Lytechinus pictus: one gene and its partner. The protein of the gene in region 1 purifies or fractionates together with the protein of each later gene. This does not show direct contact. Links are inferred from orthologs where the notes say so. Each region holds a gene or a part of one and is shown on either strand. Other genes may lie near its edges.

What was found.
Region 2: the proteins of glycine--tRNA ligase-like (region 1) and isoleucine--tRNA ligase, cytoplasmic-like fractionate together in Homo sapiens (co-fractionation; 3 studies listed by BioGRID). This does not show direct contact. The link is inferred for Lytechinus pictus from reciprocal best matches to the Homo sapiens genes GARS1 and IARS1.

What each region holds. Positions count from the first base shown.
Region 1 is NC_087257.1:6,196,670-6,209,870, reverse strand, and holds the start of glycine--tRNA ligase-like, read left to right. Parts: upstream 1-7,491; 5' UTR 7,492-7,512; coding exon 7,513-7,764; intron 7,765-13,201. UniProt on the Homo sapiens protein: Catalyzes the ATP-dependent ligation of glycine to the 3'-end of its cognate tRNA, via the formation of an aminoacyl-adenylate intermediate (Gly-AMP).
Region 2 is NC_087247.1:36,589,573-36,602,325, forward strand, and holds the start of isoleucine--tRNA ligase, cytoplasmic-like, read right to left. Parts: upstream 6,142-12,753; 5' UTR 5,823-6,141; intron 1-5,822. UniProt on the Homo sapiens protein: Catalyzes the specific attachment of an amino acid to its cognate tRNA in a 2 step reaction: the amino acid (AA) is first activated by ATP to form AA-AMP and then transferred to the acceptor end of the tRNA.

The DNA of each region.
Region 1 (13,201 bases):
CATTTTGTAAGAAAGTTGTTAGATGGAAGAATCAAATTGTATTATTTGTTGTCTGTAGGGGCGTTCTATAAGTTTGACAATGCTCATTTATTTCCCTTGATCATACTCTATTCAGGAATGTTTTATGATGTGTCTAATTCAGTACTTTGTGATATTCTACCTCCTTTGTCTATTATAAAATCAAAAGAGATGTTAACTAGTTTATGAGGCTTTTTAACATGTCGTGCTTGCAAAAAAAAAGATTACTTGGTTTCCTTTCGTAGGCTGTTTCGAGAAACTTGCAATTGATCGCAAGCCAATGTTTGGTCCAAAATCAATCGAAAGTCATGCTTTTCTTCGCAAGTTTACAATAGATTGATAGTCTGCTTCTTGCATCCACAAATATAAAGTGATTTGCTCAATAATTGATCACGGTCCCGGCAGCCACTGAGCAGTGCCAGATTGACGTCGCCCTATCCCTTAAATCGTTGAACGGGAAACGGTAGAAACAACTCACACCTTTTGAATGTCTTTTGGTCTGACGCGGCCGGGACTTAAGATCACAACCTCCCGGTCGTGAGGCGATCACTCTACCAACTGAGCCAACACACCAGGAAATGTCAGATACATGTATCTTGCGAGCCTTGTACATTGTAAATATGTTATCGCCAGTGGGCTATTAAAACATCAAATGACACTTAAGCACCCCTTTTTGTTTAGACGAGTTCTCTACAGGAATAAGGTGACTATTTTAAAGAAAATATGAGCTTTGCTTCCGTCAGCGTTTTTTTCTAAAATTCAACTTTTTAAAAGCTGCCCTCAGGTTATTAAACTTTTGCATTTACATGTAAAGATTTAAAAGCCCGGTGAAGAATATATTTATTTCGCCTGCAACTTCTCAATGGTGTGAGTTTTTCCTATAATGTTCATGTGATATTTTTTCATGATATTTTATACTTCTTACGGCTATCTCTACTGTAACATGATCTTCTCTGAAATATCACATGCAAAGCTGAATGAAAGTCTTCCCAAAATAGCTGTTCACCTCAGACACTAACACAAGTACATTATAGAGTGTGTATGTTAAAAATACATGATTGCTGAAGATTTCTATGTTGTAAAGGCCAAGCAATTGCTACCTTTCATATATTTTGTGTGAATCACATATTTCTTTCAGGAAATTTTCTATTCAGATTCAAAATATGAAATATGGGATCTTGCTGAAAATGTAAACCAACCAGGGTCCAGTTTCACAAAGACGTTATAATAACAAATGCCCAATTCTCCAACAAGTTTGCTATCAGCCAATCAGATTGAATGATTTCAGTAGTTTTTAACTTTTATTGAAAATGTGTTAATAAATCAATCTTTATGAAACTGGGCCCAGGACTTCATATGAATACTGCCCCATTCTACAACAAGTTTACTATCAGCCAATCAGATTTAAGGATTTCAGTAGCTTTTCACTGTTATTGAAAATGTGTTGATAAATCAAGCTTTATGAAACTGGACCCAGGACTTAAATGAAGACTCACTTAAGTACAACTTCCCTTAGAGTACAGCTTTCCTCCCAGTATTGTAACTAGAGAGTTGAAAATATCACCCGTACAAAGAGTGCATTATATTCTATGACCCATATTCTTAACCCTGATTTATTAAACTTAACCCTAACTAGGCCGGGCTTTTTTGGCTGTTCTGTGGCCGGGGGGAAAATTTTACAATACAACCTTGTAAATTACATCGCACACTACCAGCGTGCAAATTATTGCGGCGCTCGCGCGATCGGCGGCCGAGATCTCAGGGGGGGGTTGATATGTAAAATTTTCCAAAATAATGAGATTTCATTTTATATGAATTAATTATGCTAATTTATGCATAAATCATACTTTTTGCTCTAATTCACTAAATAAAGCTCCTAGAATGCTAATTTTTTGTAAAAATATTCTTTATAGCATTCTTAACAATGGCAATTGAAAAAAACTTCGGTTTGGAAATCAATTTCCTATGTATTTTATTGTTTTATGAATTTCTTATTTATTTCTTTGTTTTTCAGTGTTTTTTCAATGAAATTAGTTGGGGACTCTTCTAAGATCATAAAAAGCATAAAATACATTTAGACCAGCAAAACTAAAAATAATCATACATTTATGATTTTTGGTTGAAAACACAATTTACATTGACTTTGTACACGAAATCACGTTTTTGAGCAATTTTTGGTCTGACATGCACCTACATAACGTTGCGTAATTTCGTACCCGGGTGACGCAAAATTGGTCTCAAAAGTTGCGCAAGACTTGAAAGTAAAAAGTCAGTGAGCAGCGCGGCGAAAATATCGCGCCACTCGTTGAGGGGGGGCCTCGGAGGCCCCCCCCCCCCCCCCCCCCCCCCCGGCCTAGATAGGGTTAAACCATGGTCAAAGCCTAGTGTACAATTATGGGAAGCTATGAGTGTAAAAAAAATATTTAAAATTTAGTGCTTAATGTGTTTACTAGGATACTTCCCATGGTTTCATGATGAAAAAGTCTATTGTAGTTATCATTTCAAGAAATCTTCTTTTTTTTTCAATTTAAATGCCAAATGTGATGATATATTGATCGTCTGATAATAGAAATTGTCACATTTGGCCTTCCATAGCTAAACCAGAGATTTAACATTAGACTGCGGTTTAAGTTAACCCAGAGTTCAGAATATGGGCTTATGCCTATCAATTTATATTTCTTTTTTTTTTTTTTGGGGGGGGGAATGAGTTTATGAATGGATAAGGGTAAAAAAATACATAACTGTTATGCAAGGTTCACTGGGAGAACAGTTCATAAGAGCTGAAGTGGCTACCCTTAGAAAATAGGACATTATTGTGATTGTTATATAGTTTCTAGTTCTGTTAATGTATGTGTACATGTCTTTTACATGGGGAAGTTTTATACTTTCAGTTGACCACTGTATACCATAACCTGGCACACACAAGAAAGGATAACGGAATGTTCTCATATTGAGATTCATTGTAAAATTCTACATTCACCTTTTCCAATTTAATAAAGGACAATCCACCCCAACAAAAAGTTGACTTGAAAAAAAGGAGAAAAATCCAACAAATTTCATCAAGGGATGTGCAATGAGAGTCAATCATGTCAGTCAATGTTTCTATTTTATTATATGAAATATAGAGTATGTCATTTTTGCAGATAGAAAAAGTAAATATCTTCATGAATCACATTAGGGATCCCACTTATTCAAGGAATCAAATCCTGTTTCACATTATGAGGAGAATTTATATTTCATGTAAAAAACAAAAGAAAGAGTAGTTTTCCTCATTTACACATTGACCATGATGTGCATATAAATGTTTTGCGAAATAAAAGCAAACCTTTAACTTATACCAGATTTTGATGAAATTTCAGGGAGTTTGATTTTTCTCTTTCTATTCAAATCATGTTCTTGCTGGGGTGGATATTCCCTGTACTTAAAGGAGAATGAAACTCTTGGAGCAAGTTAGCTTTTGTGAAAGCAGAAAAATAAAAAAATAAGATCAACAAAAGTTTGAGTAAAATAGGACGAGCAATAAAAGAGTTATGAGCATTTGAATGTCGAGATCACTAATGCTATGGAGATCCTCCCATTGGCAATGCGACCAAGATCTGTGATGTCACACACGTACAACTCTCCCATTTTGACACTGAAAATATACCCCAAAACATTTCTTTTTGCTCATTCTAATCATATGACAAACGATTCATCAATGATATAATGTTGTGAAACCTCTGTACTTGTCATCTCATAAAGAGAACACCTCACCTTGTGATAGACTCTATAAAAGTGAGAATATAAGTGAAATAAGTACTAAAGTAATGAGGGAGTTGTACGTGTGTGATATCACAGATCTTGGTCGCATTGCCGATGGGAGGATCTACATGGCACTAGTGATCTCAATATTCAAATGCTCATAATTTTCTTATTATTCATTCAATCTTCCTCAAACTTTCAACAATGTGTTCCTTTGATTTTTCTCTTTGATATGGATTCAGCTGGTTTCAAGGGTTTCATTCTCCTTTAAGGTGTAAAAAAAGTTAATCTAAGAATAATCTGTAATAAATGGACATTATAGATGATAATTTCATCTAGGCTGTTGTAAAACATCAATTGTTACTGAAAGGGAAAAGCGACCTTATCAAAATATAAAATGCTGCAAACACATGGATTTTTAATTTTATTTTTAGAGGAGAAAAGGTATCACAAATAAGCCCTGTTTCATAGAACCTTTTCTCAATTCCAAACACAAGAGAATCTAGCAATTTTGCTCTTGACCAATCGAATTGATTCCTTTTCAGTAGCTTAAAACAGCAGCCTGAAACTACCTGTAATAAAGTGTTTATTGAAATGGAGCTCAACAAATGTAAGAGGCAAGATGATATTTCCTTATCCCCCCCCCCCTTCAAATTGCAGTTCATGTCTCTATGTTAACACCAACTATTCAACAATTTTTTTTATGCTGACAGCATGAGGAATTATCTTCATGTTATTGAAAGTGTTGATTCCCAATTAGTTAAATTATGTAAAGCAAGTTGAACATCATCAGTTGAGATTAAAAACTTGCTATGTTTTCTTATTGTTGACTTGAGTTAAGGATTTTATAAAACTGTTGTATGTAAATAAATTATGCACATACTGAAGAAAAAGGTTTTATTAGAAAAAAAGTGGATATGGAATTGAAAAAAAAAGTGTACACATCTGTATGTAAACTGTGATAAAGTGTACAATATGTATATATATAGCATCTCCAGATTAAGAGCATTTTGTACTTGTGGTACACAGAGATATTAAAATCAAGTTTATGGTGATGATCACAGATTTCATTTTTATTTTATTTTTTGTCTCACCTGCATAGCAGAGTGAGACTATAGGCGCCGCTTTTCCGACGGCGGCGGCGGCGTCAACACCAAATCTTAACCTGAGGTTAAGTTTTTGAAATGACAGCATAACTTAGAAAGTATATGGACCTAGTTCATGAAACTTGGCCATAAGGTTAATCAAGTATTACTGAACATCCTGCCTGAGTTTCATGTCACATGACCAAGGTCAAAGGTCATTTAGGGTCAATGAGCTTAGACCATGTTGGGGGAATCAACATCAAAATCTTAACCTAAGGTTAAGTTTTTGAAATGTCATCATAACTTAGAAAATATATGGACCTAGTTCATGAAACTTATACATAAGGTTAATCAAGTATCACTGAACATCCTGCATGAGTTTCACGTCACATGACCAAGGTCAAAGGTCATTTAGGGTCAATGAACTTTGGCCGAATTGGGGGTATCTGTCGAATTACCATCATAACTTTGAAAGTTTATGGATCTGATTCATGAAACTTGGACATAATAGTAATCAAGTATTACTGAACATCCTGTGCAAGTTTCAGGTCACATGATCAAGGTCAAAGGTCATTTAGGGTCAATGAACTTTGGCCAAATTGGGGTATTTGTTGAATTACAGCCATAAATTTGAAAGTGTGTTGGTCTAGTTCATAAAACTTGGACATAATAGTAATCAAGTATCACTGAACATCCTGTGCGAGTTTCAGGTCACATGATCAAGGTCAAAGGTCATGTAAGGTCAAAGAACTTTGGCCACGTTGGGGGTATTTGTTGAATTGCCATCATATCTCTATAAGTGTATTGGTCTAGTTCATAAAACGTGGAAATAAGAGTAACCAAGTATCACTGAACATCTTGTGCGAGTTATAGTAGTTTTCAAAATCAGCACTGCTGCTATATTGAATCGCGTGATGCAGGTGAGACGGCCAGAGGCATTCCACTTGTTTCTCAAGAGAGTTTTCACATTTTGAGCTGTGAGTAACATGATATAATCTACTGTTTGGTATATCACCTTTATTTATTATAGGAGGGATGGGGCAAGCCAATGTTTGCACACTTAATGCCCCCCCCCCCCCCGCATCCCTTGATTATAGTGCTTATACCTCAGTCACATTTGCTTTACGGTGGCCGTACAGCAAGTAAAAAAACGGTAACATTTTTGTTCCAGCTACATATAGTTGGTTTGAATAAAAATAAATAGAACGGCTGTTTTCGACTTAATTGTCATACGGCCGCCGTAGGGGATATGTGACTGTAGCACTATCAATATGTCAAATTTTGGCTCAATCGAATAGATCTGTGGTCCAAAGACATGCGACTTCTTTTACTTCATGTACTCCCTCCATCTCTCCGAAACCTCTCTTCTCTTGATGACCTCTTCAAAAAACATCTCAAAACACACTTATATAACAATAAACCTTAACTTGTCTTATGCCATCAACAACGCTTTGTATCCTCTTTAAAAAGCGCCATATAAATCCAATTATTATGGGCCCAGCTAATAGAGAAATGAAGGATTATCGAGGGAAATTGTGGTAGCAGGTGCACTAGGGACCAAAAAACTTGATGAGAGAGATTGAATATGAAGGGAGAAAGAAGTGGGGTAATTAGACTTTAAATAGAGAGAGGGGAGAAGAAAGGAGGTGGATTGTGGGAAGAAGGGAACAGACACAAAGGGGTTGGGTAAAGAATGAGACAGAGAGGAAGTTTAGTAGAAAGGGATCTAGGTGGTGAAGGACTATAGTGGGATGGGTATATAGAGCTAGATAAATAGAGAAGGGGGTGGGTGATGTAGAAAGAGAGATTGTAGTGAAAAAGTGGACTGATTGATCTATAGGTAAATGGTGTAGAGAGGTAACCCGGGATAGAAAGGGAGAGAGATCGGGTATTGGCGGGAGAGTAATCGGCGGAAGGAAATAAGATGGAGAGAGAATTACAAGAAGAGTTGGTTGAGAGGGATGAAAAACAAAAAGGAAACAAACTAAAACATGGGAAGCTCGGATAATAGGAACTATATGAGAAGAGACAATTATTTCTATTCTAGGCCCTGTTATTTTTTTAAAACATTTTGACTAAACGATATTTAGAAAGAGGAATAGGGTTTTGCAAGATTTTTCAGGATTGACACAATTAACAGATCGAAGAAGGGGAGAAAATGGTTTTTGTCCACTAATTCATTTCAGAATTTGTCCCCAGTCTCGCAAGCTCGATGTTAGACAGGAATGACCGGCATGCCGGAATGACCATCATTTCTGTGGATTTATTTAACAATTTCTGACATTTTACCATCCAATATGCAAGCTTTTTGTCTAGCCTAGCGCTCGTTTCGCTAGCTCGTACAAACAGTAGAGGTACAATGATATGTACGAAGTGTCATCACTCTTTCGTTTGATAGTTTATAAGTTCAGACCCCAGTATAGTACTTTCAAGCGATCTCCCAATCGTCTGGAGCAAAACACAGTGTTCTTATATTTATTTCCTTCGTAAAATGATTTTAAAGTTAAAATAAAATGTCACGTTTGATATTGTAGTTGTTTAGAAGCTTTTTTCTAAGAATTGATTTTTACTTCTGACATTACACCGTCTGCGAATTCACTCTAAATATTCTCACGGTCAAAGGTCAATTTAAATCTCCCATTGATGATGTCCATGTGGCATACCGGTGATGCTGAGTTGCGGCTTCCGTCGTTTGTTTCCTTTGGCGAGTTTTTCGCGAGGTTTCTCCCCAAAACACTTTGAATTGTGTGCTGCAAGTTGCTATCCCTCTTTGAGTAGTAGGAACTCATCTAGGAAGGCAGAATCTCTTGTTGATCGCCTAAAAGACATAAAGAAATCAGCTGCTATGGCCGGTCAAGTGGACGGGGAGGTAGACATCGAAACTGTGCTCGCGCCCCTGCGAGCCTCCGTGAAAGAGCAGGTACGAATCGCTCTCTCCTCTCACTCTCACAGTGCCCAACGCAACGACACGGCAACAGTGCAGTGCAGTGTAGAGGAGAGACGGGGGTGGTATTCTGAGATCTATTTTATCTCAGATAAAATTAAATATGTATCTCTGTTAAATCAGTGAGATAAATTGCTCTCAATGCTTAAAATCTCTTCAAATTTAATTGGTATTCTGAGAACCATTTTTAATTTTTATATCTTTTTCTTTAATAATAATCTTTTTCTTTAATAATTAATAGAAATAATTAGAATAGACTTCACTAGTAGTAATGAGAGTGAGTAAGACAAGGTCCTAACATTAACTTTTTACATGTAGTTTGGTTCACTCACATGTATTGCGAGGTTAGTAGATTAGTATACTATTACTAACCTCGCAGTCGCACCATGAACCGCGTCTGGCAGTGGATTTCTAACTAGTAGTGGGTCGCGCGTGCTGGGATCTCACTTCTTGGGTCCACAACACACGACTTCTATGGTAGGTACGCCACTGATAATTCAAATCTTCATCCAAATCTGTTGAAACTTACCTCAACATAAAAAAAATGTGTCACCCATTACGATGATGCATTGATTAAGACATATGATGAAGAATAACTCAAGTTATGATTTTTTAAAGAAATGATTTCTAAGTATTATCCATTCCGAACGAATTGTCGACCATCGAGTATCAATCACCACCGCGCATGCGCATTCGGGGATTGCCAATTCGGGGCGGAGATTTTACATCGCGCATAAACGCTTCTCGCGGCATGGTGACGAAGCGTAAGTGCGCATCATTTGTGAATGAGATTGGTCATTTTCGCGGCGCTCATAAATATGCATGTGCGTTCATGATACGCATATATCGGAGTATTTTGTTGTTTTGCAAACAGTGTGCAAGACGATTGATTTGAGACTTGAAGTTAATTTCACATGTTTTAACTAGATTATCTGAATTACAGTGCACAATTACGACATGGAAGACCATTGGGATGGATTTCAAATATAATATGTAAGTGAGTTGATAACATTTGGTTTTGCATCTTTCTTTTTTCAAGTTGTTTTGAGATCGAGAATTTTTTCTTTCATTTTAATCATCATTTTTTGTTTCTTGTCTGTCCACCGCAATTTTTTGTAGTCCTATGTTAAATGTTCCCCTTCAGTACACTGATGCCTGAAAGTATGAATCCGAAAAATGCACCCCCCCCCCCCGCGTTCATCCTTTCTCTCGATCCCTAACAATAACATTAAAAAGGATAATAACATAAGCTGATACTAGATAGTTTTGACAAGTTATTAAAGTCGTTTTTTTTTTTTTTTGGAGAGGCGGGGTGGGGGGGGGGGTGATGTAATTCCCATTCCCCCCCTCTCATTTTTTGTTTTTATTCGTTACTTGATATCCTTGCCTTTACGTGATTTCCTATGCATGCTCAATCCTTGAAACTTTACATAATTTTAAAATATTTTTACAGATCCATAGTACACCATACAGAACTTTTTTTTAAAGGAGCTAGTCTCAAGTTTGCCTCTCTGTTTTGTTTCCTTTTCTGTGAGTTCCTTTCTTCTCATTTTGTTCCTCTCCTGTACTAACTTTACAACCATTTGCTTTTGTTTTTGCTCCTCTAGCCTCACTTTTTTCCCAATTTCATTGCATTCATTATTTTGTTTTCTCTTTCATCTACAGGAAATTTTTGTAGCCAGGAGGCTGTATCATTTGATGAAAACATCAGTTTGGATTCGACCTTACCACAGAAATGTTAGGGGCCCTATGAAGCATTGCATCCGCTCTGCCAAACTGCCTCTCACCCGAGATATTTGTAGAACTACACGATGCACTTTCTGCAGCAAGATCCAGCTAAAGTTGTGATGAACTAGCATATAATAGATTTCTTATATTCATAACATTCATCATTCCAGTTCTTAATTGATATTTCAAAAGTTTAATAAATCACTTTACATGCATTTAATATATTTCTTATATTCATATCATTCATCATTCCAGTTCTTAATTGATATTTCAAAAGTTTAATAAATCACTTTACATGCATCATATTGAGCTGTACACTGAATCTTGCCTCATAAGATCATTTGGCTTCAGCTCTACATAATACCCCCCCCCCAGCAATAAAAAATGAAAATCTAATAAAACAATAGAGCTGCAGGCAGTAGCGTACCTAGGATTTTCCACAGGGGGGGGGGGGCAAAATCGTCCGCCCAAAAATTTGACAAGCAAAAAAGTCTTCAACCACAAATAAAGGATTTCGTACTTTCGGTCTTAAACTTCAAAGGAGGGGGCCACCGGTGGCTCATCAGGGGGGGAGGGCAGGGATACGTCCCTTGCATGGGTTGTGACTCGTCGGGGGGGCAGTCTGCCCCCCCCCCCATAGGTACGCTAGTGGCTGCAGGTCCACCCACCCATCTGTATCAACCATTACCTCCAATGAGAATACCTAATTTTAAATTTTATTGAGCAACTTCATTAATACTGTTAAAATATCCAATTTATATTTTTATGTGGAGTTAATTAATGTAACCAATGCCAACAAGGAAAAAAAATAAAATGAATACTTTCATGTGTCAGTGTGGATTTGTCATTTCTTTTTTAAATTTATTTTAATATTCAGATCTGTATGTGTATCCTTTTTCAACACTATGTTCCTTCTCTTCTCTACTGCATGTGCCAAATTGTTTGTTTTTTTGCTCATACTTCTTAAATAAATCATGAAAAAATTACATAAAGTCTAAATAAAAATATTTAAACAGACAACCAAGAAAAAAAGTGTTAGTTTGGGGTGATAGAAAATGTTAGAAGACAGTTGGGGGGGGGGTGAGATAAATCAATTGTTTCTTTCTTGTCAATTTAAAAGCTGCAATTCACATTTGTGAATAATTAAGTAGTTGGTAGAACAATTCCTGCTTAAAGTTGCAGTCTGAATGGAATGCAGGATCGCCAAGAACAAAGCCCAGAGGCAGAGGTGGGGTTGGTTTTTTTAAGGCGGCATTTCCATCACACTTTCTTGGAACCACAGATATTCGACGGCTCATGCAGCCCAAGTCTGTTCATTGTTGGGCCCCTCGACTTCAGATCAGTAAGTATTGCCATGCTCAAATGGAGGTAAGAAATTAATCTGAATGAAAATAAAAATATGAAAACAAAAGAAAATTAAAATGATAATGAATTAAATTAGATCTAGGCCATTCATTTTTAAAATAATAAAAAATTTAAGTTTGATTAGGCCAAAAGAAATCATGTTACATGAATTTTCAACAGAATATAATCATCAAATAATAAATCAAGACTAAAGTAAATTACCTAAAGTAAACTAAAGGCTAAAATTAGGTTCGAGAAGATTCAGAAAGTTGTTGCGTCATTTGCCATTTTTTTTCAATATTTTATTCAATCAAAATGAATGTGTGTCAGTGTGGGATGTATTTCTGATTTCTACATTTGTGTCTGGTTTTCAATTCCTAATTTATAAAAAAGAAAAAGTTTTTTTAAATCAAAGAAATACCAGACATATCACGGTAGACGGTCTGCTACACAAATTCCAATGCGCAGGACTACACACCGCGGGCAACCAAAAACCCTAGCAGCCGCCATAAATTAGCCCGCGAAACGCGTCGCCAAAATTCCCACGAAAATCCCACGAAACAAATAGCAAGGGCGTTTAACATTCGTCCGTGGCAAATGGTGGCAAGAAATGCTGCCATGAATGAGGTAAGAAACCCGGGGGGGCCACTTCCATTCACGAGTGGATACCATGCGCGACCACGGGGTCTCGAAAAGCACCCTAAACACGTATTTTCCATGTTCTGAAAATGCACCCCTTAACAAGTATTGGCGTGTGAAACCCTACCCTTAACAAGTATTGGTAACAAAATGATACTCTTGGCAAATGTTCCCTGAAATGAACCCCTAAACAAGTACAGGAATGTTTTATTGTTACGGGTCCTTCGGTCGTCGACTTTACCTTATTTGGTTTAGTACGACCCCACCTTCTACACCTCGCGCAAATCGGACTCTAAACACGAAGTGTTGGGGCAAAAAGGACATCCTTTATAAAACATTTAATTTTGTTTTATCATCCCCGCGAATTCGACCCTAAACACGTAATTTTCCTAGCGAAATAGATACCCTTTTTTCATTATTTTTGTGTTTTTGACACCCTTATCACGTTACGTACGTAACGTGCCCTATCGTGAAAAAGACATCCTTTTTACGTGTTTTTTTGGTCGCGCATGGTATCCACTCGTCAATGTAAGTGGCCCCCCCGGGGTAAGAAATGAAAGCTTACGACTTCAATTTTCGAGTAGCATATGTATTTTTAGCGTAATATGTCTGATAATTCCATGAAAATAACATATAATGATGATTTGATGCATAAACTGTACTTACAGACTGTTTTAGTGCAATTTTTGTTCCGATCTCGACGATCTCGACCCTCCGTCGCAAGAGCTTACCGTGCAGTATAGCTGAATGCATTGGGAAGATGATGTCATCGTTTTCATTCCCATTGATATACGTTTACCATCCTAGACAGGAGACTCAAGTAGGGCTTGCCGTTATTGCTCGCACCGGCTCCCGAAGCAGCTTGTCGCCATTTTCGTACGCGAAAATGATGACGCGAAAATCGCGCCCTCTCGCGCTAGAGTAGCGTACCTATCTATGGCTTGATTTTTCTGTGCGCGGTGGCATGTAATGAACCCTTGGGTGGTTTGGTTACCATGTAAATTTGTGCACATTCAAAAATTATCATGCAGTTGATTTGTAATAAAAAAATTCTCACAGGTCACACAAAATCAACTAAAATAAATACCAAGCTAAAGTAAAGGCCAAAATCGCTCAACAAAGACGGAATTATAAAGTAGGTCAAGCTAGGGTTTCGCTAGTATCGCAATCTCAAAATTCTTTGGCGATCGACTAATGTGCGCTCAGCTTAAAACTGTCATAAAAAAGTGTGACCTTACGCACGAGTCAATAGTTATGCAAAGCTTAAAAAAATCAAGTCACGTCAAGCAAACAAGGGTAAAATTGTATCAGATGGAGGTTAAAAAACAATAAAATCGGTTGGTAGATGACATTTAACTTACTTTTTTTAGACCTCTGCTTGCAAACTGGCAATTTCTTAATGCTTGCTGTGAACTTCGGTTATTTCAGAACGTACCCAAAAGGTATTTCACAAGTGCAGATTTTATCTTTAACTTCAAAGTTACATGTACTGAGTAAAATTTGGGTCGCTTTTCCTGTTAGTGATATCATTTTTTCAAGATATTGATTAAATCCTAGCCATGACGTGTTTTCCTTCAGCAAGAAATGTATCCACACAGTGCTGCGCGCGACCCAGGTGAGGTGAATGGGTACCCGGCAGGATTATTTCCTTGAACGCACGGAGCGCCGGTGATGGTAGCTCGAGCTAAAGCCGGGGTAATAA
Region 2 (12,753 bases), on another chromosome or scaffold:
GCTCCGTCAGTAGCACGATCTTTAAAAGTTCACGGCGGGGTCCGCTATCACCACGAGGTTGAAAATAAAATGTAAATCATCATAAACGATGTAAGAGAGTAATGCAATGAGCTCCGTCAATAGTACGACCTTTCAAAGTTCACGGCGGCTTCCGCTATCACCACGAGGTTGAAAATAAAATGAATATCATCATAAACGATGTAAGAGAGCAACGCAATTTAAGCTCCGTCAATAGTACAGTCTTTAAAAGTTAATGGCGGGGTCCGCTATCACCACGAGGTTGAAGAGAAGATTTATATCATTATAAACGATGTAAGAGAGTAGCGCAGTGAGCTCCGTCGGTAATACGACCTTTCAAAGTTCACGGCGGCTTCTGCTATCACCACGAGGTTGAAAATAAAATGAATATCATCATAAATGATGTAAGAGAGTAACGCAATAAGCTCCGTCAATAGTACAGTCTTTAAAAGTTTCTGGCGGGGTCCGCTATCACCACGAGGTTGAAGAGAAGATTTATATCATTATAAACGATGTAAGAGAGTAGCGCAGTGAGCTCCGTCGGTAATACGACCTTTCAAAGTTCACGGCGGCTTCCGCTATCACCACGAGGTTGAAAATAAAATGAATATCATCATAAACGATGTAAGAGAGCAACGCAATAAGCTCCGTCAATAGTACAGTCTTTAAAAGTTAATGGCGGGGTCCGCTATCACCACGAGGTTGAAGAGAAGATTTATATCATTATAAAGGGGGTAAGAGAGTAGCGCAGTGAGCTCCGTCGGTAATACGACCTTTCAAAGTTCACGGCGGCATCCGCTATCACCACGAGGTTGAAAATAAAATGTATATAATCATAAACGATGTAAGAGAGTAACGCAGTGAGCTCCGTCGGTAATACGACCTTTCAAAGTTCACGGCGGCATCCGCTATCACCATGAGTTGGAAGAGAAGATATCTATCCCCTTAAACATTGCCATAGATAATACCGCGACTTTCTCCCTGAATAATGCGACCTTTTAAATAGCTAGCACCTCAATAACAATCTTGAAATATGTTCTGAGCGATCACGCACTGTAACCAGATCTACGCCGATTTTTTATTTTCGATTTTTTCCTTCAAGGGGCATGATCGAAGATCGGCAAGTGATTGCCGATTGTGGTGAAATCGAATGGAATCGGTTGCCGATTGCAAAATCGGTTACAAGCTTACACCTGTTCACTGCAACCATCCTGCCTGGGGGGAACTACTACAGGTAGGACTATGGTATGCCAATGCTGTACATAGCACACACTTTAAAAAATCATTAAAATATCACTTTTGTGACCAAAATTACTTATTTCCATACAGTTGCAATGTATTTTGTATTAGTAACTTGAAAATAATTTTTGTATTCACCAGAGCGCTCAAAAACTTGAATTTTGGGCATATTTTTGTGTACGCCCTCTATTGGTGGAAAGTAATATGGCAAGAAAATTTTCATTTTTCAATCTCTATTTTTAATTAAGAAAATATAATTCAAAGAATCAAATTTACATAAGAGCCAAGTTATATGATGAATAGCTGTATTGGAAACTGACAGTGTAAGAAAAAAAAAGGCATTTGTCCCAAAGAAAAAGAGAAAATAAGCCAAAATTGCCACACATGAAGATGTAACTACAATGTACTGAGAAAAAGGTTATTATACTTATATCCAAGGCTCGACATTAGCGGTGGCCCGGGGCCACCAGAAATTCACTTCGGGCAACCATTATTGATAAAATGTTAAGTTTTGGTGGCCCGAATCAGGCAACCAATAATTTTCAAAGTAGCGCAATTTTTCTCCTGATTTTGCACGCATTTATCAACATTCTACAGTTCAAATTGCAAGCCAGTTAGTCATGCGCCCTTTTTGTTGATCTACACACAAATACACACACACAGAGTTTGCATATTAGGCCTACAGCTATAGCATACAGTAGCTATTATCCAGCCAGCCGCGCCGGCCAGCTGGCGTGAGTTTGCATGAAGCCACTGCATACAGCTGTGCTCTAGATCTAACTCAGCCTATTCAGACTCTGGGAGCTGCAATAAAAAATGTTGCTGCTAAGAAATCTTCCACAGAACTTTGAAAATCTAAGTCAAAGTCACATTTTACACCAATGAAATGACATTCTACAGTCTATATTACGAAAATTTGGTGTACCCTGGGGCCGATTGCACGAAAGGGTCTTTCCAAAGACCGTCTTTCGTGTCGCCCATCTTTTATGATGCGCTATAAGCGGGGTGTTTCTGAAATTTATAATAAACAAATAAAATTCGTAAGCTTGCTTTTAAATCAAATTTTATGTAATTTCATGCGATATCAGATCATTTTATAAACAAATATTTTGTTTATTTTAACGGACAAATAAAATGTATTTGCAGAAAATTTATTTGAAATGCGTTTCACATGGCGTATCATAAAAGATGGGCGACACGAAAGACGGTCCTTGGAAAGACCCTTTCGTGCAATCGGCCCCTGATAATTTGCAAGCATTAAGAAGAGGAATTATGACCTCTCTTTTGACTACAAAAGACAGATTTCCAAATGAATTAATACACATAAAAACACATAGGCAAGTACATCACAGTCCCACATGTGCATTTGTATGTATGTTGATACTTGGTTTCTTTCGAAGCTGTGTCTTTTCTAGCCAAAAATGAACAGACAGTTTCTTTCTTTCTTGTTTATAAATGACTTCTTAAACCACTCTTGAGAAAGTAAATACTTTGGGAAGGCATTTCATCGATATGAAATGTGAATTTTTCCAACAATTTGGCAAATATAGGGAAGGACTTTTCCCACAGTCACACTTTTTTTCCAGATATAAGTTTTATAACTTTTGCCGTTTTCTTATTTTTTTTCTTTCATTTTTTTTTACAGTGGTTAAACCATTTATACCCCTTCCCATTGAATATGCCTGATAAATAAATATGTTTCTACTGAAAATTAAATAATACAAACTAAAGGATATAAAAATAGAAATGTGCCATTCCCAGAAGGTAAGTGAAAATTATTTGCTTGGCTTTTAATTATATTCCAGTCAGAATAGACTGTTGCCACAGCTGTTAAAAAACATTCGTAATGGCTTCTTAATTTTCCCCTTTTCCCCATGTTTATATTAATTTTGTTTAATTCATTTTTCTTTCATTTTTTTTTTTCTCTCTAATTTTTTTTTTTCCCTGTTCTTTGTTTTTTCTTTCTTCATTTTGTTTCTTTTGTTTTATTTCACTTATTTCTTTTATTATTTTTGTTTTCTTTTTGTAATATACTTTTTGAAAATTATTTTCATTTGTTTCCCCCTTTTATGCATTGTTCTAATTTTGCAGCATATTTTTCTGTGATTTTCTCCTGCTATAATATGCTGCAAAAGAGAAAACAGAAATAAACTGGATTTGGGGCCTGCATAATCTAGGTTTCAGGATTCAAAGAGGAAGAAATGAAAAACCATTGTTTTGTACATCTATCTGAGTTTGCTATGCACTATTTATTTACTTTACCATTATGAGTGTGTCTGTGTGTGTCTATACGGAGATAAAAAAAAAGTCCACACAACCTGCGAACAATAAAATTCATTTATTCTCTTTCAATCATTTCATTTTTACAACGATAGAAACAATTAATATTTTACCACAAACCAATGAATTAGCAAAGTAAAATAACAGCAAACAAGGTTTACATACAAGATGATAAAGTGAAAGTAACTTAGTGGTAGTGGCTGCAGAATTAATATTTCAGAAGTTTGTTTTATTAATTTTTAATGTTTTTCTTTATATTTTTCGGGCCACCAATATCGGGCCACCACCAAAAAAAGTTAATGTGGAGCCTTGTTAGTTTTAGTAAGGAGTGATATTATTATATTGTATTGTTTATAAGAAATATGAAAGGATATGCTTGTACAAGTCTAATGTGAAAAGAATATATATATATATATACATAATAATGTATGATATAATATATACAAAATGATATGTTCTGCACATATAACTAACAAAGCCCACAAGTGTTTTCGCCTTGTTGTTGTTGGTGTTGTTTAAAAAAAAAAAGAAACAAATTATTTTAATGTTTAACCCATCTGTAAGCACAGGCACACTAGCGCCCCCTCGTCTATGCATGGGTGACCTAGGCATTTTTATGTCCGAAAAATCGGCACAATGTACCGTGCTGACCGGTATGATTGCATCTTAGAAAGGGCAGGGCAAGCGCAACTAGTTGGAACTGGGCTGAAGATAGCGGTTTGTTTTTGGTGAAGATTTGTTTATATGCCATTTTGACAAGAGTTAAGACAAACTTTTGTAGACCGGTATACTATATTCATCATTTTTATAATAGAAGGATGCACAAGAAAAATATTTCATATATGTATACATCATATTGGTAATAATATGAGAAGTGAGATTTTATAGATAAAGTCAATGGCGACAATAGTCAAATATGACTAATTGCCACTCAAACCAACATAAGAAGAAGAAGAAGAAGTTATATCATAACCTGTCCTTGTTCACTGAATGAGTGGGTGCATATCATATGGAGCTCTTGCCGCTAGACCAAAAGCTTCAGTCTCTGTATTTTGGTTGTTCCGCTAAACTACGTTGGCTCCACTCACCATACATAGACTGAAGGGGATGGGGCCCCGTACCTACAGCCAACGTATAGTGAACTAGCGTTTTATAGATCGCGATTTAAAACTGTTTTTTAAGCAAAATTGAAAGTTTCATGGTTTCCATTATCAGGGAAATATAAATAACTTAAGTAATTGCATACCTTGGGCCGGAGTTATTGAAAAAAATCCTCTGGATGATTGAGAAATCTGTCATCTAAGACATTTTCACCTGACCTGACGGTTTTTCTTGCAAGTTGCCATCTTGAATGACGTCATTATCGTTATTAACTTAATGTCTCGAATCGATATGTCGCGATTATAACTAGTACTAGTACTAGTATAACTAGTATCGTTTATCTTCGGTTTCGATCGCATATGGAGCAGATCGTATAATATCGAAAGCAATATCGATATCACATTCGTGATTGTTGACGTTCGTTTGTAAATATTTTATAGTTTGGCTGCCATTTTGACAATTTTTATCGTGTTCAACCCAATTAAACATCGGTAAAGTATATTTTTCATGCCTTTTTCATCTAGGCCTATATCGTTTAAAGTATTTAAATATTAAAATATTAAATTTTAAGTTTGTTGTTTATACATCCTTAGATTGTAAATTCGATGTGTAAAATTACATCAAACTTTGGACTGTGAATTGACAAAAGGGAGGGAATGAGAACACATGCGAGCCCACACGTACACCCTACCGTCGGTAAATGGGGATTACAGTAAAATGTCAGAAATTGTTGAATAAATCCCCAGAAACGACGGTTATTCCTGTCTATCTTGCCGCATGCTCTGAATAGATCAATATTGGATTATTGCTATTGTTTCCAAGAGGAAGAGAAGAATCACGTGGAAATATTCCCATCCGCCACCCTTGAGCCCTCTCCAAACTCCCCTCTCTCATTTTCCCCAATATGTTTTATACACAGTCGCGTGCCGATATGCGAAGGTTTACTTACTCAACGCTATATTGGGCGCCCTTCTTCAGGAGCATTTTTCGGGCGTTTGGGAGCGTTTCAAAAAATCGCCGAAGTGTCCGATCTTCCACTTGTAGTGTAGTATCTTTGCTTTATCCTATCAAATCATTTCAAAGCAATTTCTACTGATTACATCTTTGCAAGAAACCCCGATATTACCAATCACAATTTGTTTTTTAAATTCCATTAACCTCATATAAGGATGAAAATAACTCACCTCTTTCTCTCGAAAGCTGGTCGCTGTTCAACTCGGGTTACTCAGCTCAGCACACACGTGTGTATATATTACTATATCGTTCAGAAGTTAAGTCTGAAGTTAGAGACTATGAATTTTACAATGGACAATTATAGCTTGATGCGGTGCTTAATTTTTTTTATCCATATGCCCAGCAAATAGTTCGAACGTACAGTATCATACAGACGAAAAAATGATCAATCAATTACTAGTAACCTTTCACTCTCTTCAAATTTTCACACGGTTTCATCATCTTTCAGATACCATTATTGGTAACTTCAGTTTTGCCCTTTAAATCTATGGTAGCTTCAATGTTACAAAATACATGTATTGTGTTGTGGAATTCACGGGTTTTTATGAAATGTGAAAAACCCTGCTTGCTTCGACAAGCTAGGTTCTAATATTTTTAAGTATGACATTTGAGGGGGCGAGATATGGCCTTTCGGGCAACATCTTGAAAAAATTTTTTCTCTGACCAAATTTGCTTTTGACCGCACAGAAACATAGCCCTAACAATTCGCTAACAGAGGCCCTGTTACAACCGGCAATGTGACAGCAATGCGTAATGTTACATCAATGCATTACTCCCATTACTCACACATTGAAATAGATGTTTTTACTGCACAATCCGAAATATGGGACTGGGTTTACCGTTTACTGCTATAGTGGTCTGTTAGGCTAACAACGTTTCTGTGCAGCGTGGTGTTTCGAGCTGCTGCCAACTTTTTTTTTTTTTTTTTTTTTTTGGGAGGGGGCGGGGGCGGGGGCGGGGGGGCAATTATGCCCAAGGGTCCCCCTCCCTGTTTTAGTCAAACATACTTATCAGAAATCACTTTATTCAAATCCAGACGACCTAAAACTGAAAGTTTTTTTTTACTGAATAATATCATATGGGTATAGTATAGTTATACAACACATATTTACCTCTTGTTTCCATACTTTTCCTTCTTCCCCACCTCGAATGGGGATATTGTGAACATATAGGCCCTACTTTTTTGTTTTACTTTTATTCTTCATTTTCTCTTACCCTCATTTTTTTTTCTTCTATTACATCATCTTGAAAAGTAGCAGCTGCCCTTTGCCACTTCCCAAATCCTTATTTTGATGAAATGCATCAATTCATTTTTCTTCTTAATTCAAAGTTCTGATCTCATGCCAAGTTCCCGGGCCAAATTTTCTTGCTGGAAACTATGTAAATGCCACCACATGTTGAATCACCATTTTTGTCACTATTATACCACCCAGTTCTGTAAAAGTGTGATCCCAGCCATGGAAACGGGCCCTTTTCATGGAAATTTATTACCAAAACAGCAGAAAAGATGAACTAAGAGCAATCAACTATATAGTGGCATTATTTTCGAGAGAGTATGAGTTAAAAAACATACCTTAATTGTATTCGGATTTTTTTATATAAAACAAGTGGAATGCCTCTGGCGGTCTCACCTGCATCACGCGATTCAATATAGCAGCAGTGCCGACTTTGAAAAACACCATTTAAATAATTATTCACAAAAAACACCATTCATATAATGATACAATACAACGTTCATTGACATTGGACCTTGATCATGTGACCTAAAACTTGTCAGTGATACTTAATTGATTACCCCTATATCCACATTTTATGCACTATATCTATAAACTTTGAAAGTTATGACAGCAATCTAATAATTACCTCTAAAATGGCCGAAGTTCAATGACCTTAAATGACGTTTGGTCATGTGACCTGAAACTCGCATGAGATGTTCAGTGATACTTGAAGACTCTTATGTCCAAGTTTTATGAACTAGACCAATATACTTAGAGTTATGATGGTAATTCAATGAATACCCCCAACATGGCCAATATCCATTGACCTTTGACCTTGGTCATGTGACCTGAAACTCGCACAGGATGTTCAGTGATACTTGATTACTCTTATGTCTAAGTTTCATGAGTCAGATCCATAAACTTTCAAAGTTATGATGGTAATTCAACAGATACCCCCATTACGGCCAAAGTTCATTGACCTTTGTCATGTGACCTGAAATGCACACAGGATGTTCAGTGATACTTGATTACTATTATGTCCAAGTTTCATGAATCAGAACCATAAACTTTCAAAGTTATGATGGTAATTCAACAGATTTGGCCAAAGTTCATTGACCCTAAATGACCTTTGACCTTAGTCATGTGACGTGAAACTCATGCAGGATGTTCAGTAATACTTGATTAACCTTATGTCTAAGTTTCATGAACTAGGTCTATATATTTTCTAAGTTATGATGACATTTCAAAAACTTAACATTAGGTTAAGATTTTGATCAATGTTGATTCCCCAACATGGTGCAAGTTCATTGACCCTAAATGACCTTTGACCTTGATCATGTGACATGAAACTCAGGCAGAATGTTCAGTAATACTTGATTAACCTTATGGCCAAGTTTCATGAACCAGGTCCATATACTTTCTAAGTTATGCTGTCATTTAAAAAACTTAAGATTTGGTGTTGACGCCGCCGTCGGAAAAGCGGCGCCTATAGTCTCACTCTGCTATGCAGGTGAGACAAAAAGGGTTGTAAGTTCACATCTCTACTGGCAAAAATTACACTCTTTACTCATTGTTTGTCGTAGGCCTTCATGTATACAGTGGACCCCCCCCCCCCCCCCCCCCATCATTGGCTCAATTTGAATGTTTGTATAAGACAGATGTTACGAACATCAGGCTGGGTAAATTATGCTGCAGCATTGGCAACCTTCCAAGCATTTGACACAAGTCTCAACATTACTGCTCTTGCTATTCCATGTACAAGTCTCCTGCCGATCTAACTTCATGAAAAACCTGTTAAATGTTTATACATTGAACTCAAAACAGAATGCCAATCCTTTTTCGCAGGTCAACAATTTCAAATTAAAGATTTAAAGATGATGAGCTATATTCAAGAATGGATAAAAGCAGGTTTATTGAAAACTAGAATTGCACAATATTTTGTTATATATCGTCATCCCCGATGAATCAATGGGTGTCAAACATTGTCAAGTAACGTTCACAAACATACCATTTTTTCAGCTAAGCCTAACAGAATGGAGACGAGGAATAAAACATTGGTTATGGATGGTATTCTTTGACCCTTTCCATTTGAATCTTGTGGGTTAGATTGGATTAATACAGAGGGCAGTGGGAATAAGGGCTGTGATGTTTAGCGTTTCAAGGCAATTTCTCGTCTGAAACGGATTTTAAGTTAAAATTATTGAATGGACCCATGAACCCAATACCACAATGATTGTTCATTGATGTTTAATGGCACAATATTTCAACATTATGGTCATATTATGCCGCCCTAATGTACACTTGACATAAAGAAAGTAACCCAATTTGTTATTGATTCATTCTCATTTTCAATAAAGAGTATCCCATTTCCTGACATTGTTCTAGTTCATCACTAAACATACTAATTTTCTCATCCTTACTGTTCGTTTTCTCTCTTAAATTCATTTAATTTTCCCTCCCTCATTTATTTTACATTATAATACATTGATTGTAAACATATCACAAGAGTTAAACGTGATAAAATGATAGCACTTTTGTTATGTATGGAAAGATTTTTGCTGCACAAACACCACATACAAATAAACTGACACATCTTGATTATAATTGATATATCTATTTCTATTCATAAGTTACAGAATGAATATATCTGTTTTAATATTCACATGTATGTACAATATAACAATGCATTTGAACAATATCATCAAATAATCATCAGCCCAAAGCAAGCCAAAAAATAAGCATTGAAGGAAAGAGGAACAAAAGACTTAGAAATAACCTTCACAAAATTGAGGACAGTATTAAGTTATTACATTTAATCAAGCAAAATTCATAAAATCTAATAAACACATTGACAAACATTGTAACATGGTAAACTTAATGAAAATTTTGATAAAGTGATAAAAAATAAAACACCTGTAACATTTATGAAAATATTTATTAGAATCATCATCATCCTCCACCTCCTCTTCCTAATCTTAATCATCATAATTACACTTATAAATCAGCAATATTAGAAATGATTTCATCATGGGCTTTTTCATTCTTTACATTATATTGATGAAATAGATGAAATAAAAATGTATTATCAAAGAAACATCTCAATGGCTAAGATGAAAATAGGGCACTATTAAACACAAATTGTTAACTTCACATGTAAATGGAACAATGGGAGAAGTAATAATCTATACATGTCCTGCAGCTCAATACAATTAATTGCTTTGGGAGTATTGTTTGTAAACACAAGTAAACATGACAAAATAAAATATTAAATCTAAGTCAAGATTGAAGTGCATGATGAATATAACAAGTATGAATGAACAAAAATTAATGCAAAGCCTTACAATAAAAAAAAAAATAAATATAAGGGAGAAACTTGGGCACAGACCTCGCCCATATCCCATACAAATATACCTATAATTTAGGATTTAGATATTCAAAAGTTTCAAACTACCAGTAATTCAATTTGTACTTGTTTTGTTCCCATTTCTTTGATATTCATGTACACAAATAACCACATACTTCAAGAAAAAATAAAAATAACATGATATTTTCTTCAAATTGATATCCTTTGGAGAAAATATCATGATATACTGTACATAATATATCATGTATCCATTTCTTCTCAGTCAAGCTAGTCTCAGAAATGTGAGTTTACTGGCTTAACGTCATTATCAGATACACATACTGCAAGATATTCAATAGTGGACCACTCAGAAATATCAACAAATTAAATTACTTCGATAAACAATACTAGAACATAAACAACCATCTTATGATAAAAAAGTAAAGTTATTATCATCTAGCAATTCCAATATATCTAGTATTGCACTTGGATGCAATGGTTATGCAAATTTAAATGTAAAGCTCATTTTTTTATCATTATTACTAACATCTTCTTTTTTATGACACAGCATATTCATGAAACATCATCCCCTGGATCATTACTAACATCAAAAGCTTCATAAAATATATCTTGTTATCTTACATAGTTTTACATAAAATACAGTCCCCATAATTCATCAGAGAAGAAGTGCTTATCACCTTTCATGCTTGGCCTAAACTCAAGTTCCTTGTTATTTAAATATCTAGAAATGGCTTTAAAATGAAATAAAACGTTTGGAAAACCCACACTAAAGCAATAATAACCTTCAGAAAGTAGAACAGCAGAAACAAGTCATCGAGGAATGGAAGACTCTCTGAACATCTGGAAAAAATTTGTATCTGTTGATGTTTCTGGTGGTACCCTATGGCCTACTCCTTGTGACTAGCAGAAGAAGTAGGCATTTACCTGTGAGCAAAGGAAAAGAAATGAAGAGGAATTCAATTCAACTGCATGACAGAGGTCCATTGAACACGGTTAAAACATGTAATGAGAAATATCACTGTTCAAAGGTCATTGATGATGGCTTGTACCATCACATTGAGTTATTGTGTCGGGTCGGGCAATCACGTAACCCAACCATTCAAGAAAAAGGCCCCCTAAATTCCTGCAAGGTTGGGTCCAGTTTACCTGACCCATTAAATATTCAGATTATAATTTTCATAAAACATCGGGTAAATTGGACCCAAACATTCATAAATTTGACTAATAATTTTCACAATGCTTTGGGTGAACTGAACCCAACCTTTAGGGAATTTAGGTGGGCTTATTATCGAGTGGTCGGGTTACTTGATTGATGGTACAAGCCATTGAGGATCATATGTAACAAGCAATTATAATGGCAACTAAGTAGCCAACATATTTGGAAAAGGTCTTTAAACCAAGATAAATGTGTGCAACAACTGCCAAGTCTCATTTGGGTGAAGTTTATTTTACCCACTGCTTTTCTTTTCTGCTTTTCTACATGCATATCACTTGTAAGCTAACAGTCCATCCAGGGCCTGGATGAGACCAGGTACAGGTATTACAAAACAAAATTAATAAAATGATTGTCTGTGTCAATTACTGGTGTACATGTATTTCATTAGATCATTTTATGGAGGGATAGGCCTAGGGCAATAAAAGTGACAACATGAAGAGTTCAGGCCTGGATGAGACCAGGTACAGGTATTACAAAACAAAATTAATAAAATGATTGTCTGTGTCAATTACTGGTGTACATGTATTTCATTTGATCATTTTATGGAGGGATAGGCCTAGGGCAATAAAAGTGACAACATGAAGAGTTCAGGCCTGGATGAGACCAGGTACAGGTATTACAAAACAAAATTAATAAAATGATTGTCTGTGTCAATTACTGGTGTACATGTATTTCATTTGATTATTTTATGGAGGGATAGGCCTAGGGCAATAAAAGTGACAACATGAAGAGTTCAATGAAGTAATTTGGCAACAATGTCAGTCGCAGTATTTGGAAACACCTGAAATTCTTACACCTAACTAGCTAAGGGCAAATTTAGAAAAAGACAATCACTAACGTAACAATTGGTAGCATTCCATGCCCTAATCACATTTCTGACTATAAAACATTAAATAAGATGCTACTCGCCTTCCTCATCCACCTCCAGCAGCAGGTGGTGGAGCTGGTCCTGATCCTCTGCCTCCAAATCCTCCCATTCTTCTCCTAGGGGGAGGAGGAGGCCCTCCAGGTCTGCAAGATAATAAACTTTGGTTAAGTAAACTTGCAATGACTCCCAAATTATATATGATCAATTTAAAGATGATTCAACTTTCATCAATGTGATGCATGCTCAACTTTGACTTTTCTTGACAGAGATTTATACAGATATCTAACCTTTCATAAAATAGAAATGCCATGTTAGCTGTGAGTCTATAGCAACTTTTCGGATGGGTTACCCATTGAGTTTTATGATGGCATGGTATAAAGATTTGCTATATTCATTTAATAGAGTTCTCTTTTTCTTTTCATATTCTTCCTCAACC